Linked DNA regions of Alligator mississippiensis. The protein of the gene in region 1 interacts with the protein of each later gene in a pairwise test. Links are inferred from orthologs where the notes say so. Each region holds a gene or a part of one and is shown in the gene's direction. Other genes may lie near its edges.

Region 1 (7,254 bases):
AAAAATGTAAACACCTAACCCTCTTTCCTCCATTATTCTGTTTGACATCAAATTATTTTCTAGAAGTAAGGGTGGAAACTTAACAAGTTCCAAAGTTATTAAACATCAGTGGAAATTGTGCTCCTCAGGCAGGCACTTTCTGAGAATTCCATCATAAATCAAGTCCTTTTGGCTTCAGTCAAAACATGGGGAAAACTATGCATGTTGAAATACATGGCTATATCAGCCGGAAACAGTGATTCAAGTTGGGCTTAAAACTAACTCCCGTTCACTTCAGCACTCCACATGATTGGACCCAAGCAAGCCATTTCATAAATTCACTTTATACAAGGCATGTGTAAAGCACTGGTCTTCTCAGTGAGTTTGTTTATTAATAAACTTGGTGATGTGGTGGTGTATATTCCAGCCTGGCCACATCTCTTGTTATGTCTACATCTGACAGCCTCAATGGAAGCTAAAAAGAAATGACCCCACAATGATGACCATGCCAGATTTGCTCAAAATGTTTTAAGGCTTTCTGCATTTACCTGGCAGAAAAAAGTATGGCACTGCAAGCCAGCTGGAACTGGATACAAGTCACATTGAGCATTTTTTCCATTCCTCATCATTGACATGGAATAAATCATCAAGATGTATTCTGTATACAAAACTCTTAGATTTCAGCATGATCAGGATTTTAGCCTGTAGAGCCAGAAGTACCCAAGAGAAATGAATCCCACCAGCTGTAGATTTGCCTAAAATTGTGAAGAATCAGGGCTTCCACAGTTAACCACAGGTACCTCTAGAGCCCTGACTTAAGAGGATCTTATTGTTTCTGCACAAAAATTTTTCTGTTGTTGGAGCAACTGGCTCTAATATAAAGGCTCTGTGTTCCAGCAGGCATATCTATTACTTTGGCCACTCCCTCAAAACACATTACCATTTAACAAAGCTGTAGATTTTCAAGCTGCTAGTTGTCTGAAAGGACCTTACAAACTGTTGCTATGTGATTCAAGTATATGAAACCAGCGGTGAACCACAAACTTAGTACAATTCAATCCTGAATTAACTCTTTTCTGTTAAATTTATCTGCTGAACTTACATACCTGTGAGGAAGCCAGGCCTCTCCAGCAGAGAACTCTTCTAGGTACTTATCCCACTGTTGAAGCAGCCCATACATGCCTGGCTGTACTAGTGGGATACTAATGCATTGTTCCCACCCAAATTCAACTCTGTGAATGCCCGTTTCATTGTAATTGTATACGAGTCCTGGAAATACAAACAGCAACGTTATTAGCAAGAGCTGGAGAATTAGAAATAAAGTTACAGTTCTGCTAACAGGATGAAGCAGCTGCTTTCTATAATGGTACTCCTTGCTGCAATACAGCAGTTACCGAAGCCTGTAAAACTGTCCTCTCACTCCCTCCCCTACCAAAAACATCATATTCTGTCCCACAAGCAAAATTTATTTAAAAAAAAAAAAAACACAACTCCCACAGAACATGCTGAATAGTTTTTAATTTCAAAATAAACAATCCACTGTCATACCTGCAACACAAGTGTTGCCCCATTCTGTTAGTGCAAAATAATTCAGTGAAAATGGGTTGGAAAGTAAAACTGATAATCTACTTTCATTGAGAAAAATGCAAAAGATGAACACCACATTAAATTCCATTTTTAAAATTCTATCAGATATCAAAAAGGCTGTTATAATCTGACAACGTCCTGTTAAGGAAAATGTATTTAAAGTGGCAGTACAAATAACTGTAAAGCAAACATTTTCTAGTATGTCTTTCAAAGGCTGCCTACCTTGTTAGCATTTTGTCCTGAGAATAGATAAATAGGGCTGGGTTTGGTTTCCAACATGAGTTCCATTTTATAGGAATCTTAAAAGTTTGGGATTATAATGATAGGTGGTTTTCTTTTGGGGCTCTCTGGTCAGTGCTGAGATGTTAAAACAGAATCCCACATTTAAACTGTCAACCTCAATTTCCTTTGACATTAGCAGAGCCCAGATTTTACTGTAGCTCTCTAGTAGTAGAGCCAACAGGTTTGGAGATGTTTTTCAACAGCAAATCTCACTCACCATGCATGTATCCAATTAGTGAATGCAACTGGCTGGCTCTGAAATGAGTGCTATTCAATCCTAACCCCTAAAGCACTGGTTCTTATCCCATTTTGTACCAGGACCCATTTGTAAACATCGATGGCCAGTCCCAACCCAGTGCCCCTCACTCCCAACCTGCTGCCCCATCCGCAGCGTGAGAGGTGGAGGGGCCCAAGCAGCCCCTTGCAGGCTGGAGCTCTGCCAGCCTGCAAGGGAAAAGCCATGGTTTCTCATGTTTTTCTCCTTTAAAGGGAGAATCCATTTTTGAAGTATGTGGATCCATTTTTAGAGTTTGTTCACAACCCTTTCATATATTCTTGTGACCCACTTTTGGGTCATGACCCACGGGTTGAGAAATACTGTTCTCAAGGAAGATCAGGAAGATAGGAGTGAAATCAAACTTGTATATATAGTTTAAATCCCAGAAATGTACTGGAGATACACAAAGATGTTGCATATTTAAGAAGAGATTAATTACAAAGCTCTTGTTACCATTAGTACTGGTTATTCCAACATGAAGATCAGATTTCCCATCATACTCTCTGAAAGAAAAATGGTATAAAGTTTTTACGACTGAAAATAGCTTCATGCAGGGGCTGCTTGGTCACGTTAAAAATACTCTGAAAGGTCTCCTTCCCTAATTGCTGGTACTTTTGACTCCAGCTGAGACTAGAATGTGAGGGAGCATGGATGCAGACATCATTACACACCTCATGAAATTTTTCATTTCCAGAAATGGCTGTTTAGATTTTGTACAAGTGTCATTTTCTGTTCACCCCAAACACCCCCCTACTGGACCACAACAACAGCACAGCAGGGCACAGGGCAACAGTAGAGGGAGACCACAAAGGGCTCGGAAGGACAGGTCACGCTCCATGGGGGCTCCAAAGATGAAAAATGAAGGCCCAGATTTCCCCTTACCACAAACCCACAGGATAAGAACTTCAATGAAAACTCAGCTTTTAACAGCAGTCCGTGCACACACACAGTATGGGCTCGCACTTCTCGTCCACTAAGGAGACAAACGGGCCAGGTACACAGGTCGCTACACACCCCGCACCCATTCTGTCAGATCAGGGGCTTAGTGCCCAAGCAACATTTCGCACCAACTGTTTTGCAGACGACAAAGTGCAGCAAGACCCGAACTGGGGACGGGGCAGGACACGCGCGCCTACCCCCGCGTCTGAGAAAGGCCCGGGGCCGGAGCCGGCGGGGAAGGCCGAGCGGCGGACGGCGGCCGTACCCCAGGAAGGCGCCGGCCGTGGGCCGCAGCAGGAAGGCGCAGAGCCGCGCGTGCCCGTTGACGAAGGGGCTGGGGACGCTGACGGGCGCCTGCTCCAGCCCGCGGTAGAGGAGGCGGCGGCCGCAGGCGGGGCAGCGCGCGGGCACACGCGGGCCGAAGATGAACTTCCCGCAGTGGCGGAACCGGACGACGCCGCCCGCCGGCTCCCACGGCTGCATGGCGCCAGCCGTCTCGCGCTGGGATCCGGCTCGCAGAGGGGGCGGGTGACGTCACACAGGCTGGCAGCCCATCCGGCCAATAGCTCCGGGAACGCGCGGTGACGAGCACTGGTGTTCGGGTGCCAGCGCCCCGCTGCAGGCCAGGCGAGAGCAGCTGCTTGCAGCTTGCGAGTCCCCTGGGTCGCACGCCCCGCCCCCACCAAGAGCGGCGCTCTGCCCCCGGCCGCTTTGTCTCGATGGCTCCCGCCCGCTCTCCCTGGCCCCGCCCCCCGCGCGGGGCGGCTCCGGTCCGGCGGGGAATAGGGTCCCCCCGCGCCCATTCCCGCCGCGGCACCGTTCCGCACAGCTCTGTCCCTCCCCCCGCGCGCGGCGGAACCGAGGGCTCGGGCTGGGGCTCGGGCGGGTCGGAGAGCAGGAGCGAGGCCGGCCATGAGCACCAAGCAGGTGACCTGCAGGTGAGGCCGCGCCGCGAGGGCCGCGCCGGGGCCGGGGGTTGTGCGAGGGGCTCCCGCGGCCCAGGCTGGGGGCGGCCGGCGTGTGACGGCGCCCGTTTCCCGCCCGCAGGTACTACGTGCATGGCGTGTGCCGCCAGGGCAGCCGCTGCCTGTTCTCCCACGACCTGTCCGCGAGCCGCGCAGCCGCCGTCTGCCGCTTCTACCAGAAGGGACAGTGCGCCTACGGCGCGCGCTGCAGGTGAGCGCCCGCGGGTCCCGGCCCGGCCCGGCCCGGCCCGGCGGAGCTGGGCGGGAGCAGTCAGCGAGGGCTGGGCCGAGCCGAGCTGTGTTCCGCGCTGCAGGGATTTCCGGCCTTGCCGCCTGCCCCCTTGTGCCCTTTCTGCGCCGGGGGGGGCTAAGCCTCCCTCAGAGGCGCTGGTGTTAGCTGCAGCCCAGGCTCTGGTTTTTGGCAGGGCTGTGCCAGTACTCCTGCTGGGACCAAAGCCGGGGGTTCCTGGCCTTGAGCGGAGGGACAAGACCTGCTAGCCAGAGTGATGCCATATTTGGGATCAGGAAGGAATTTTACCCTGTGGTCGGATTGGCCAGAGCTGTGGGGGCTTTTGCCTTCCTCTGTAGCAGGGGCGCAGCCTCTGCCCAGGGCCTCTTGAGTATATATTCACAGTATTTCATAGTTGCAGGATGTTGGCTGCCATCGTTCCCCTGCTTTACCTACACCAAATCAGGGTGTTAGGTGTGTTGTGTCAGGATTGAGGGTAGTTTTACATAGAGTTTAGATTACGGTTTGTATGGGATGGTTTGGATAGGAATGATCCTGCCTCAAGTGGGGGTTGAACTAGGTGCCTCTGGAGGTCCCTTCAAGCCCTGCTTTTCTATGATTTGATGACTTGCCGTCTTAACTAATATTGACAGAAGCAAAGAGGAACTGGAGCAAATGATACACAGGTACATCACTGGGGGAATGCAGCCCCCATCTCGTCTGAGCAGGTGCTATGAGACGGGACCTCGTACAGGATGTTGGCAGGATTTTCGGTTCCCCTGCCTTGGGAGGAATGGTTTCCCTGACTACTGTCTAGACTAGTGTGGGGGACTGTTGCTACACCTGCGCTTAAAGCTTCATTGGCAGAATGTATGGGCAGGGGGATATGAGAGCGATCCAGTCTGGACTGTCTATGTGGAGTCCAGTAGTTTCCCAAGCAATCCCAATTATGCCTTCAACCAGAGTTTAGTCCTTGTAGCACAAACTTTTACTTTGCTTTTTCTTTTTAGATATGATCATACCAGGCTTCCTGCTCCGAGTGGTACAGTGGGCATTGCACCACCCAGCCTCTCTTTACCAGTGCTCCACAGCCCAAACCCTCCATCAGAGCATAGCACACCTGTAATCAAGAGCAAAACATGTGAACCTGGCAAGCGTGAAAAGAAAACACTAGTGCTGAGGGACAGAAGTGAGTTGGAACAGTTACCATGCTTATTGCTGCTGGTAGTTTTATTACTTCCCTTCTTCTCCTTGTCTCTTCCATTTACAGATGCCCAAGCAGATGCAGTTACCTTTGTAACATAATTCTGCAAATGCTTACACCTGTTAACTTTTCCAGGGGAAAGCTTTCCTTCTGCTCCATGCATTCCCCCAAATGATTCTTCTGTGTCTCCATGTGGTCCTTTCTTGCCATCTTCCAAGAGCAGGGCATGAGCAGAGATTTGTGTAGTGAAGGGGGATTTGGGGTGGTGCCAGGGGATTAGCACTTGGAGGACTGACCCAGTATACTTGAGCACAAGTACTGGGGGAGTCCTGCATTGCCTAATGCTGTAGAATGGGGGTCAAGCTCCCGCTCTCAGCAGTCCTCTATTTCTACGTGCATACCCACCATGGTCTCCCCAGGTCCACCATAAATAAACCCTTTCCTTCTCAATATTGCTTTCACTATCCTTTGTGAGGCTGCAATGCTGGGTTATCTTCCTTCTTCCTCTCTCAGCCCTGTACAATTGCCCTACCCTATCAGTGCCCCAGGCCCCTTGCTGCTCTTGGCAGGGTCTCTGGGCTGAACCTTGATGGATGCTGAAGAAGCTGGGTGGCAGCTTTGGAACAGTGTGTGAGACCAGAACATGATCTGTCCGTCTCCTTTTCCTTTCAGCAATAAAACTCCAGTAACATTCCTTTTGGGAGTTCATGGTGAAAGAGTGACATAATGGCTGCTGACAGACATGGAAAAAAACCCAAAAAACCAGCACTTGACCAGAAGAAGAAGTGCGTTAGTTGAACTCAGCTCCCCAGTGTCTGTATAGACTGCACACTTCAGTGGGACTTTTTGGCACTTTTATCTAATTAATGGCTGATTTAATCAGATATTAGATAAAAGCACCAAAAAGCCCTGCTGAAGCACACAATCTACACAGACATTGGGCAAGCTGGGTCAAATTAATGCAATGTTTCTTCTGGGCATGTACTGCCAAGCTGGGGGGGGGGGGGGGGAGGGGGGTTTCCATGTCTTAAACAGTCAATCTGTATGTACTGCATTTGAGATGTTATGCAAAATCAGAAGTTTCTAGTAATACCAGGTCTTTTATTTACAAAATGTTATTCAGAGGAGAAATTTCCAAACAGTGTCAGGGAAATCTGTTTTGGAGCAATTCTTTGTGGTCACATGAATGCAGTTGGCTCCTGAATTGCCAAGAGAGGGAATTGTGGAGAACAAATTTATTCATTCATTCATTTAGTTGAGAACCAGGAGGATTTTAGCCTTGCTTCAAGTGCAAATATGAAAGCAGTTCAAAATGTGTATGTACCTGGTATTTTCAGGCTTTGCAGTATATAATTTTGATTGTAAAATGCTGCTGAGTTTAGGTATAGAAGGAGCTATATATGTGGATTCAGCTGGTGAGAGGGCCGTGGTTAAACAACCCTTTAGTTCATCAGGTAGCCTTTGTATTCAAGACAGGTTCCTTTGTGGCTTTTATGCTTTCATGATCATTCAATATATATTGTGCTTTTTTTCTTTTAAGATTTACGTAGTTTGAATGAAGAAAAGACGAGACTCAGTGCAGCAAGTGACCTGGCTTGTTGCAGTGACAGAACTGATGATCTGGAAATGAAGCCTCATTCATATCTAGAAGCTATTTGCACTGGGCTGGAAGATCCAATGCCTGGAAGTTCCTCTGCTGATGGACAGCAGCTGTGTCCCTATGCAGCTGCTGGGGCGTGCCAGTTCGGTGACCAGTGCCCTTACCTCCATGGAGAGGTGTGTGAGATCTGTG
Region 2 (7,537 bases), on another chromosome or scaffold:
TACTATTGGGGTAGGCAGCAGCAGCATTGGAAGCAGGGCTACGGGGGGGGCTGCAGCCACCCCAAAATTCACCATAGCCCCCTCCTGGTGCTGCTGCCACCCGCCCCAAGCGCAGCCTGGCTTAGCACCCCCTGCTTGGGAAAGCCCTCACAACAGACTTACCAGCTGGACCCGGCTGCTCTCCACACTGCTGGGCTTTGCTCCTGGCCGCCTGTGTGCTGCGCTGTGGCTGTGCGCATGCATGGGGCATTTATTGGTGGCATTATCGGTTACATCAGCCAAAAAAACCTGACTGCTGATACCATCAATTTTCCTTATATTGGTGCTGATCTTCTATGGGACCGATGTATTGGTATATCTCTAATTTTTTGCATAGCACTTCTGCTGCTCTTACAGCACGCTACTGTGCCATGGCACACCCTTTGGGGAATCTGAGAAGAGCAAAGTTTTAAAATTTAATTTAATTGAAAACTTCTTCACTGCTACCGAAGATACCCCTTCTATGCCTCTTTCCCCCCTATTTTGCCATAGAATAATAATAAAAAATGTTATTTTAAATGCAAAGTGCTGCACCTAGGGAGGAAAAATGTCCAGCACACCTACAGCCTAGGGAATGACCTGCTGGGTGGCACAGAGGTGGAAAGGGATCTTGGAGTCCTAGTGGACTCCAAGATGAACATGAGCCGGCAGTGTGACGAAGCCATCAGAAAAGCCAATGGCACTTTATCGTGCATCAGCAGATGCATGACGAATAGGTCCAGGGAGGTGATACTTCCCCTCTATAGGGCGCTGGTCAGACCGCAGTTGGAGTACTGCGTGCAATTCTGGGTGCCACACTTCAAGAAGGATGCGGATAACCTGGAGAGGGTCCAGAGAAGGGCAACTTGTATGGTCAAGGGCCTGCAGACCAAGCCCTACGAGGAGAGACTAGAGAAACTGGACCTTTTCAGCCTCCGCAAGAGAAGGTTGAGAGGCGACCTTGTGGCTGCCTTTAAGTTCATCATGGGGGCACAGAAGGGAATTGGTGAGTATTTATTCACCAAGGCGCCCCCGGGGGTTACAAGAAATAATGGCCACAAGCTAGCAGAGAGCAGATTTAGATTGGACATTAGGAAGAACTTCTTCACAGTTCGAGTGGCCAAGGTCTGGAACGGGCTCCCCTACCCTGGGGGTCTTCAAGAGGAGGTTAGATGAGCATCTAGCTGGGGTCATCTAGACCCAGCACTCTTTCCTGCTTATGCAGGGGGTCGGACTCGATGATCTATTGAGGTCCCTTCCGACCCTAACATCTATGAATCTATGAAATGAATAAAAAGTTTGTATTAGAATGAGTCCATATATATTCTTTGGTTTTCCTCTATCCACATGGAAAAGGAAGCGGGGTGGAGAGAAGAGAGAAAGATGGCAATTTAAAAAAAACTGTTGGTATCATTTAATTTGTGATGGCTAATAAAAAAAAAAAATGTTCTAGGTTGCATTACTGAAAAAACTTCAAAAAAACTTCAAATGAAATAAATCATTTTGTTGAAAATTTCTCATGAAAAAATATTATTTTTTTCAATTCTCAGAGATTTTTCTTGTGAAACATCAAATAGCAAAAATGAACTGGTTTACAATTTGCAGCTTGGCCTCTCTCTTGCATTTATGTCATCATTTTCCCCCTAAACTTGTGACTACCACACATCCCTACTGGATATTCTCCCAAAATTTTGTAGACATTGTGGATTAGAAAATGCAAGACAATTACCCCATGAAGAGTCCAATATTATGGGTCCAGCCTTTCAAGATTTGTGTCTACTCCTCTTATTCAGCAAATATTTAAGCGAATGTTTAATTCCCATTGAATTTCTAGCAAGTAAAAGATACCATTTTCTGTTTTGATTGATTCTGGATTTTTTTTTCTTTTAAACTTTCAAGGAAAAAGCTTGTTAGTAACAAAAATCAAAAAAGCTATGCTAATGGCATCTGGGCCTGGAGCAGTCTCTTCCTGCCTGAATTCTAAAAGTATGAAGTTATTTTAGTTAAAAATAACTCTTAGAACGCACTGAGAGTAAGATCAGGTCCAATGCATTTTTAATTAAGCACAACAGCGAAATAAATACGTAATACTTCAACATTATCAAACAGTCTGGTGTTACATTACTTGGAAGTCAATCTGAAATACATTTCAAGTGCAAACCTTTTCGAATACATATTGAATGCTGCGTTCACACAAAGAGTTAAACAAATTATCACAGAAATATTTAATCTGTCCAAAAAAAAATGGTTTCTACTGCAGATATGAAAAACGTTGTTTTAAATACCTGTGGCAGACGAATCCACCTACCTGACTGATCCTTTTGAACAGGTCTACAATTTTTAAGCTGTAGCTGGGAAGTCCAAAGCATACCTTTTGTCAAGATAATCATTTAACACGCATCGCTTTTCAGTCTATTAAGTTGCATGGATAATTCCAAGTGTAAAAGGGGCCAGGAGTGTGATTGTAGTCTTTCCTTAAAGTTTTTAAAGAATTCTCTTTTAATTCCAAACTGAGAAATGTGCTTTGATCTTGCAGCATTTATAGAAAGTGGAAGTAAGAGTAAAGGAGATATGTTAAGGTCCAAAGGGATCTGAACTAGTGGTAGAGGTGACATCTTTTATTAGACCAATTAGATTTTTGCAAAAAAAAGTTTCATTTGCAAGCTTTCAGGCACAGGGACCCTTCTTCAGGCATAGGAGAAAAGACTGTAAAAGTTCTCCGAGGTAGAAATGAAAGTTCATATTTCATAGGAGAGTTGAAGGTGTGGTAAAATCTCCTGTTTGGAACACACACCAACTGCTGAAACTTCCTTAGCCTCACGAAGGGTTTTTGAACCCGAAAGCTTGCTTAATAATTATTTTCCAACTATTTGGGTTGGTCTAATAAAAGATATCAGATTCACCCAAGGAACCTTGTCTGCTTATGTCCTTAGACCAGCACGGCTACAACCTACACCCCTGTCTGGAACAGTTCATTTTATGCAGCTTAGGGCCAGAAAAAAGTTGGACTAGTCTGTTTACCTCGAAGGTGTTTGGTGGCTAGCAGGACGTAGAGTTATATTTCCTTCTGGTTATGATATTCCATATTTCACAGAATAAAATGATGGGCTGCTCTTCTGGGCAGGAATTTCTCATGTGGCAAAGTATCTCCGGGCTCTGTGATAATGCAAATTACCTCAAACAAAGGCAGGAGCAGGGTCTCAGGTGGTAAAACGTACTTCCTTCTTGTAAAATTTCATTAAAAAAAAAAAAATCAGTGAAAATTAGGGTCCAAATTAATTTCAACTGTGACAAGCTTGAAGTTGTTCCTGGTCCTATATTAAAACAATTTTTTTTTTCAGAAATTACCAGTACTGGTATAAATTAAAATAATATAGATTTGTTGATCATTTGTGATAATCACAGAATCATATCAAAGTAGGGCTGGAAGGATGTCCAAAGGTCTAGTCCAGCCCTGCTTGAGGGGGAATCATCCCTATCCCAGCGAGCCAGCCCTTGTCTAGCCCAGCGGCGTCACACTCCCCTTCAGGGCAGAGGAGCAGCACAAGAACAGTGAAGGGGCGCGGGGTGGAGCCAGGGCTGGGCTGGGGGGGCGGGGCAGGGCGGGGCGGGGCGTGTCGTGTGTCCCCGGATTCGTGCACGAGGCGGGGTGCGCTGCATGCTGCGGGCTCAGGGCCAGGAGCGGTGCTGGCCTCTTCCCACAGGGGGCGCTGGGCCGGGGCTGCGCTCGGGCGGGGCTGGGGTGGACGGCGGCGGTGGGCTGTATGGGGGGGTTCCGACAATTTTAGGGTGGCTATAACTCACCCCTGCCCCCCCCACTCCCAGCGCTACAGACAGCTTCCGACCCCGACCATCACCTCGCTTCAGTTTTGAAAGCGGGCGTGAATTTAGTGTAATATCAGCGGCCACACGCGCCAGGCCCCGCCCCCCCGCTCTCATTGGCAAAGGCCGCTGTACGGAACCGCCACGTAGTGGTCGCCATGACAAACCCCAGCGCCTCCGCAAGGGCGCCGCCATCTTGGCTCCTGCTTGCGGAAGCCACCATGTTGGCTGGCGGGCGCCTCTCCTTCCCGCCTTCTGAGTGACGGCGGCCGGCGGCAGCCATCTTGCCGTACGGCGCGACGCGACGCGAAGCTTATTTCCGTTTCCGGCCGACGTCCCGACTTCCTTTCTCTCTGGGCCGCTGCCTGAGCGAGTGCAGGGTCCGGCCCGCGGCCGCCGCCGAATCCGCCGCCATCCTCCCTCCCCCGCGCGCTGAGCCCGCCGTGCCGCTGCCGCCATGACGGAGCAGATGACCCTGCGCGGCACCCTGAAGGGCCACAATGGCTGGGTGACGCAGATCGCCACCACCCCGCAGTTCCCGGACATGATCTTGTCCGCCTCGCGCGGTGAGAGCGGCGCCGGGGGTGGGGGCGGGGCAGACCAATGCACCCGCTTGGGGGGGGGGGCAACCTGCAGCGGGTGGCATAAAGGGCTGTGGCTGACACCATCGTGGTGGCAGCTGCGGGGGTGGGAAAGTCCACCTCGCTGCTTGGTTGGGGGCTAGGCAGAGACCAACCCTGCAGTGGGGGTGGGGAACCAGGCAGAGGGAGATACCATTTTGCTGGTGGGGGGAGGGTGGGATGTGCCATTGGGGATGCTGGGTCTGCAGCCACGTGGAGGGGTGGGATGGGGGATGGATCACTGAGGGGCCAGGACACAGGGCTGCACCATTTGCTTCAGCATTGTGCAAATGTGGCTGCAGCTGGAGGGGATTGGGGCCCTTAGGCCTGGGAGGGGTTGGGGCAGCAGAACCTGGTGCCCGAGACGAAGGGGCAGGTGTCCGGGAAGAGCCCCTGGGCAGGGGGCCGGGGAGGTGCGGACCTTGTTCAGGACAAGAAAGTGGAGCTCAGACTTCTGGTTTAATTCCCATCTCTCGTCTGTACCAGGCTGCAGGGCTGGGTGGGCTGCTGGGACTCAGTTTCCCTAGCTATGGGGTGGGGGGTGCTGTTTATTCGTCCAGGAGCTGGAGGTGGGGGGTATTGTGAGGGGAAGCCCCACTAAAAGGTGTTCAGGGGGTGCTACCTGTTGAGGCTCTCTGAGGGTTTTGGGAACTGAAGGTCTTTGCAGGATGGTGGGGCCTGTTAGGCTTTCAATCCCTGAGAGGGGGCAAATCCAGCAGAAAGTGGGGAGGGATCAAAAGGGAGCAGCTTTGGGACCTTCCTAGCCTAGGATCCCTTCCCTACCCTCAGGCTGTCGTGAGTTGGTGGTGCTCTGGGGGCTTGCACAAATTCCTTGTCTGGGGGTGGGGGGTGCTCTCTGCTTGCCCAGGATGAAGTTTCTCTGCTTGCCCAGAGGCCATCAATGCACTGAGGTTCATCCCTGCTAGTATCATGGAGCTGCACACCTCCCGATCCCAGTGATTAGACCTGACGCGTCTGCTGACCCTCTGGGGTCTGATGACAAGTCCTGCAATTATGATGGGATTCTGGGAAGGAGGGTGAGTGGGGCTCCCTGTCAGGGCACATTGTTCAGGAGAAGCCCATAGCTATAAAATAAAAGAGAGGGAATTTGGAGACCTAGTGCTTAGGTGAGCATTGGGGATAAGGGGTTTTGCCGTTTTATGCAGCCCTGTCTCAGAGGAGGGGACAGGTTGGTGCAATGGAAAGGATATTGGGAACCGGACGCATGTTGGTATAATCTAACTTGCCCACGTTTGATGAGACTGGTGATCGACTGTGCCATAGAGGTTGGGACTGGGTAAATGCCACGATTGATTCCAGGGGCTGTTCTCAGGATTGGTATGAAGGGGTTCAGTGGTTGCTGCCCAGTCCAGTCTAGGGGCAGTCTCCAGGCCCCGTGCTCTTTTGCTGTGGTAGGGAGACGCAGCTAATTCCTTTTTGCTTCTCCTGCACAGACAAGACCATCATCATGTGGAAGCTGACCAGGGATGAGACCAACTATGGGATCCCACAGCGTGCCCTGCGTGGCCACTCACACTTTGTCAGCGATGTGGTCATCTCCTCTGATGGGCAGTTTGCCCTCTCTGGCTCCTGGGATGGCACCTTGCGCCTCTGGGACCTTACCACGTGAGTGACAGGAAGAAGAACAGGGCAGGGTGGCTTCCTTGGCAGAAACAGAGTCTGCGGGGCAGAGAACATGGCGAAAGAACACAGTAGAACAGACAGGGAATAGGATACCCCTGGGGGTGATGCTGAGATTTTCCCCGCTTCTAACTTCCTTGGCCTGTTTGCTCTGCAGATCACAGCCCTCCTTCCCATCCCACTGCACTGATGCACTGTGGAGTAGTACTGGCTGCCCATTTTGAAGTCCACAGACCAGTTACAAAAAAGCAACCAGGGATATAGCAAGGGTTGGCAGTTTAAAGAGGGGAGATCCTTATCCCTGTGTGCCCCACATTTTCAATTCCAGGTCAAGCATTCTTTGTCCTGTGCACTTTTTAATCTTAAGACTTCAGAAATGTTTGGTTTCGGAGTACGGGTCACCAGCCTGAAACAGCTACTTCTAGGAAATGGCTAGCTCAGCTTTTAAGACTGCAGAAAGCTGGTAATCCAGATAGTTTTGTTCATTCCTTTTCCCTTCTAGTCCCAATGATTAAACCTGACACAAGTCTGCTGACTCTCTGGAGTCTGACGACATGTCCTGCAATTATGATGGGACAGGAAGGGAGATAGGGAGCTTTATGGTCTTTCCTGCTGGTCATGTCCTTTATTTTCCTTGTTCCACCTATTTTTTTGCATGATACACCTCCCATCCTCTTTTATCTACCTGGGCTGTCTCCTCTGCGGGTTCCTGGATTATGCTTCTGCTCTAACATTTCATTTAGTTTGCTTGTTAGGGTCTCCCCCCGCTCCCCTCACCCCACCCAACTCAGAACCTGGCTCATGCTTCTTGGTGACCTTCAACTCCATGAGCCCAACCTCCCCCCACCCCAGTCCTTTTACCACCATGCCTCTTCTGTTGCTCTTTGTGAAGTTTAGTAGGGATTTGGCAGGTGGATGTAGGAGGAGGTGTCCATAGTGACACCAAGAGTGACCCGAATGTTTTTCCTTTTGCCCCCTGCAGAGGTACCACAACCCGGCGATTTGTGGGCCATACCAAGGATGTCCTGAGCGTGGCCTTCTCATCTGACAACCGGCAGATTGTCTCGGGTTCCAGGGACAAGACTATCAAGCTCTGGAACACCCTGGGTGTCTGCAAGTACACAGTTCAGGTGAGGCTTGCAGAGGGTTGCCTGGTGGTTATGTCCTCCCAGTCAGGAAAATAAATTATGAGTCTTCTGCTCCGAACTGTTTCCTCAGATATGCTGGTTGTAGAAACCCACTTGACTGTCCCTTGAGGAATGAAATGGGACTCTGAGCTCTGGCTGGGCCAGCTAGCTCTGTGTGATCTAGGGCCTCTTTGTGAGGTGGGGATTCGTACAGACTGGGTGGAGAAGTTGTGCTCTCGGCACTGTCCAGTAGTCCCACTGAAATGAGCCACATGTGACCTCGGATCCCAAGCATTCTGTGGTACTGGG

The links. The genes of interacting proteins can lie anywhere in the genome.
Region 2: the proteins of MKRN2 (region 1) and RACK1 interact in binary tests that used the Homo sapiens proteins (3 or more experiments, as listed by UniProt). The two-hybrid records come from large-scale screens. The link is inferred for Alligator mississippiensis from reciprocal best matches to the Homo sapiens genes MKRN2 and RACK1.

What each region holds. Positions count from the first base shown.
Region 1 is NC_081835.1:30,776,187-30,783,440, reverse strand, and holds the start of MKRN2 (E3 ubiquitin-protein ligase makorin-2), read left to right. Parts: upstream 1-3,881; 5' UTR 3,882-3,976; coding exon 3,977-4,002; intron 4,003-4,111; coding exon 4,112-4,240; intron 4,241-4,611; exon of another isoform or gene 4,612-4,933; coding exon of another isoform or gene 4,934-4,944; intron 4,945-5,268; coding exon 5,269-5,447; intron 5,448-7,002; coding exon 7,003-7,254. Other genes in the region: MKRN2OS (MKRN2 opposite strand protein), read right to left, coding at 1,086-1,248, 2,579-2,628, 3,330-3,547. UniProt on the Homo sapiens protein: E3 ubiquitin ligase catalyzing the covalent attachment of ubiquitin moieties onto substrate proteins.
Region 2 is NC_081834.1:51,398,976-51,406,512, forward strand, and holds the start of RACK1 (small ribosomal subunit protein RACK1), read left to right. Parts: upstream 1-4,187; 5' UTR 4,188-4,297; coding exon 4,298-4,406; intron 4,407-5,914; coding exon 5,915-6,086; intron 6,087-7,083; coding exon 7,084-7,231; intron 7,232-7,537. UniProt on the Homo sapiens protein: Scaffolding protein involved in the recruitment, assembly and/or regulation of a variety of signaling molecules. Interacts with a wide variety of proteins and plays a role in many cellular processes.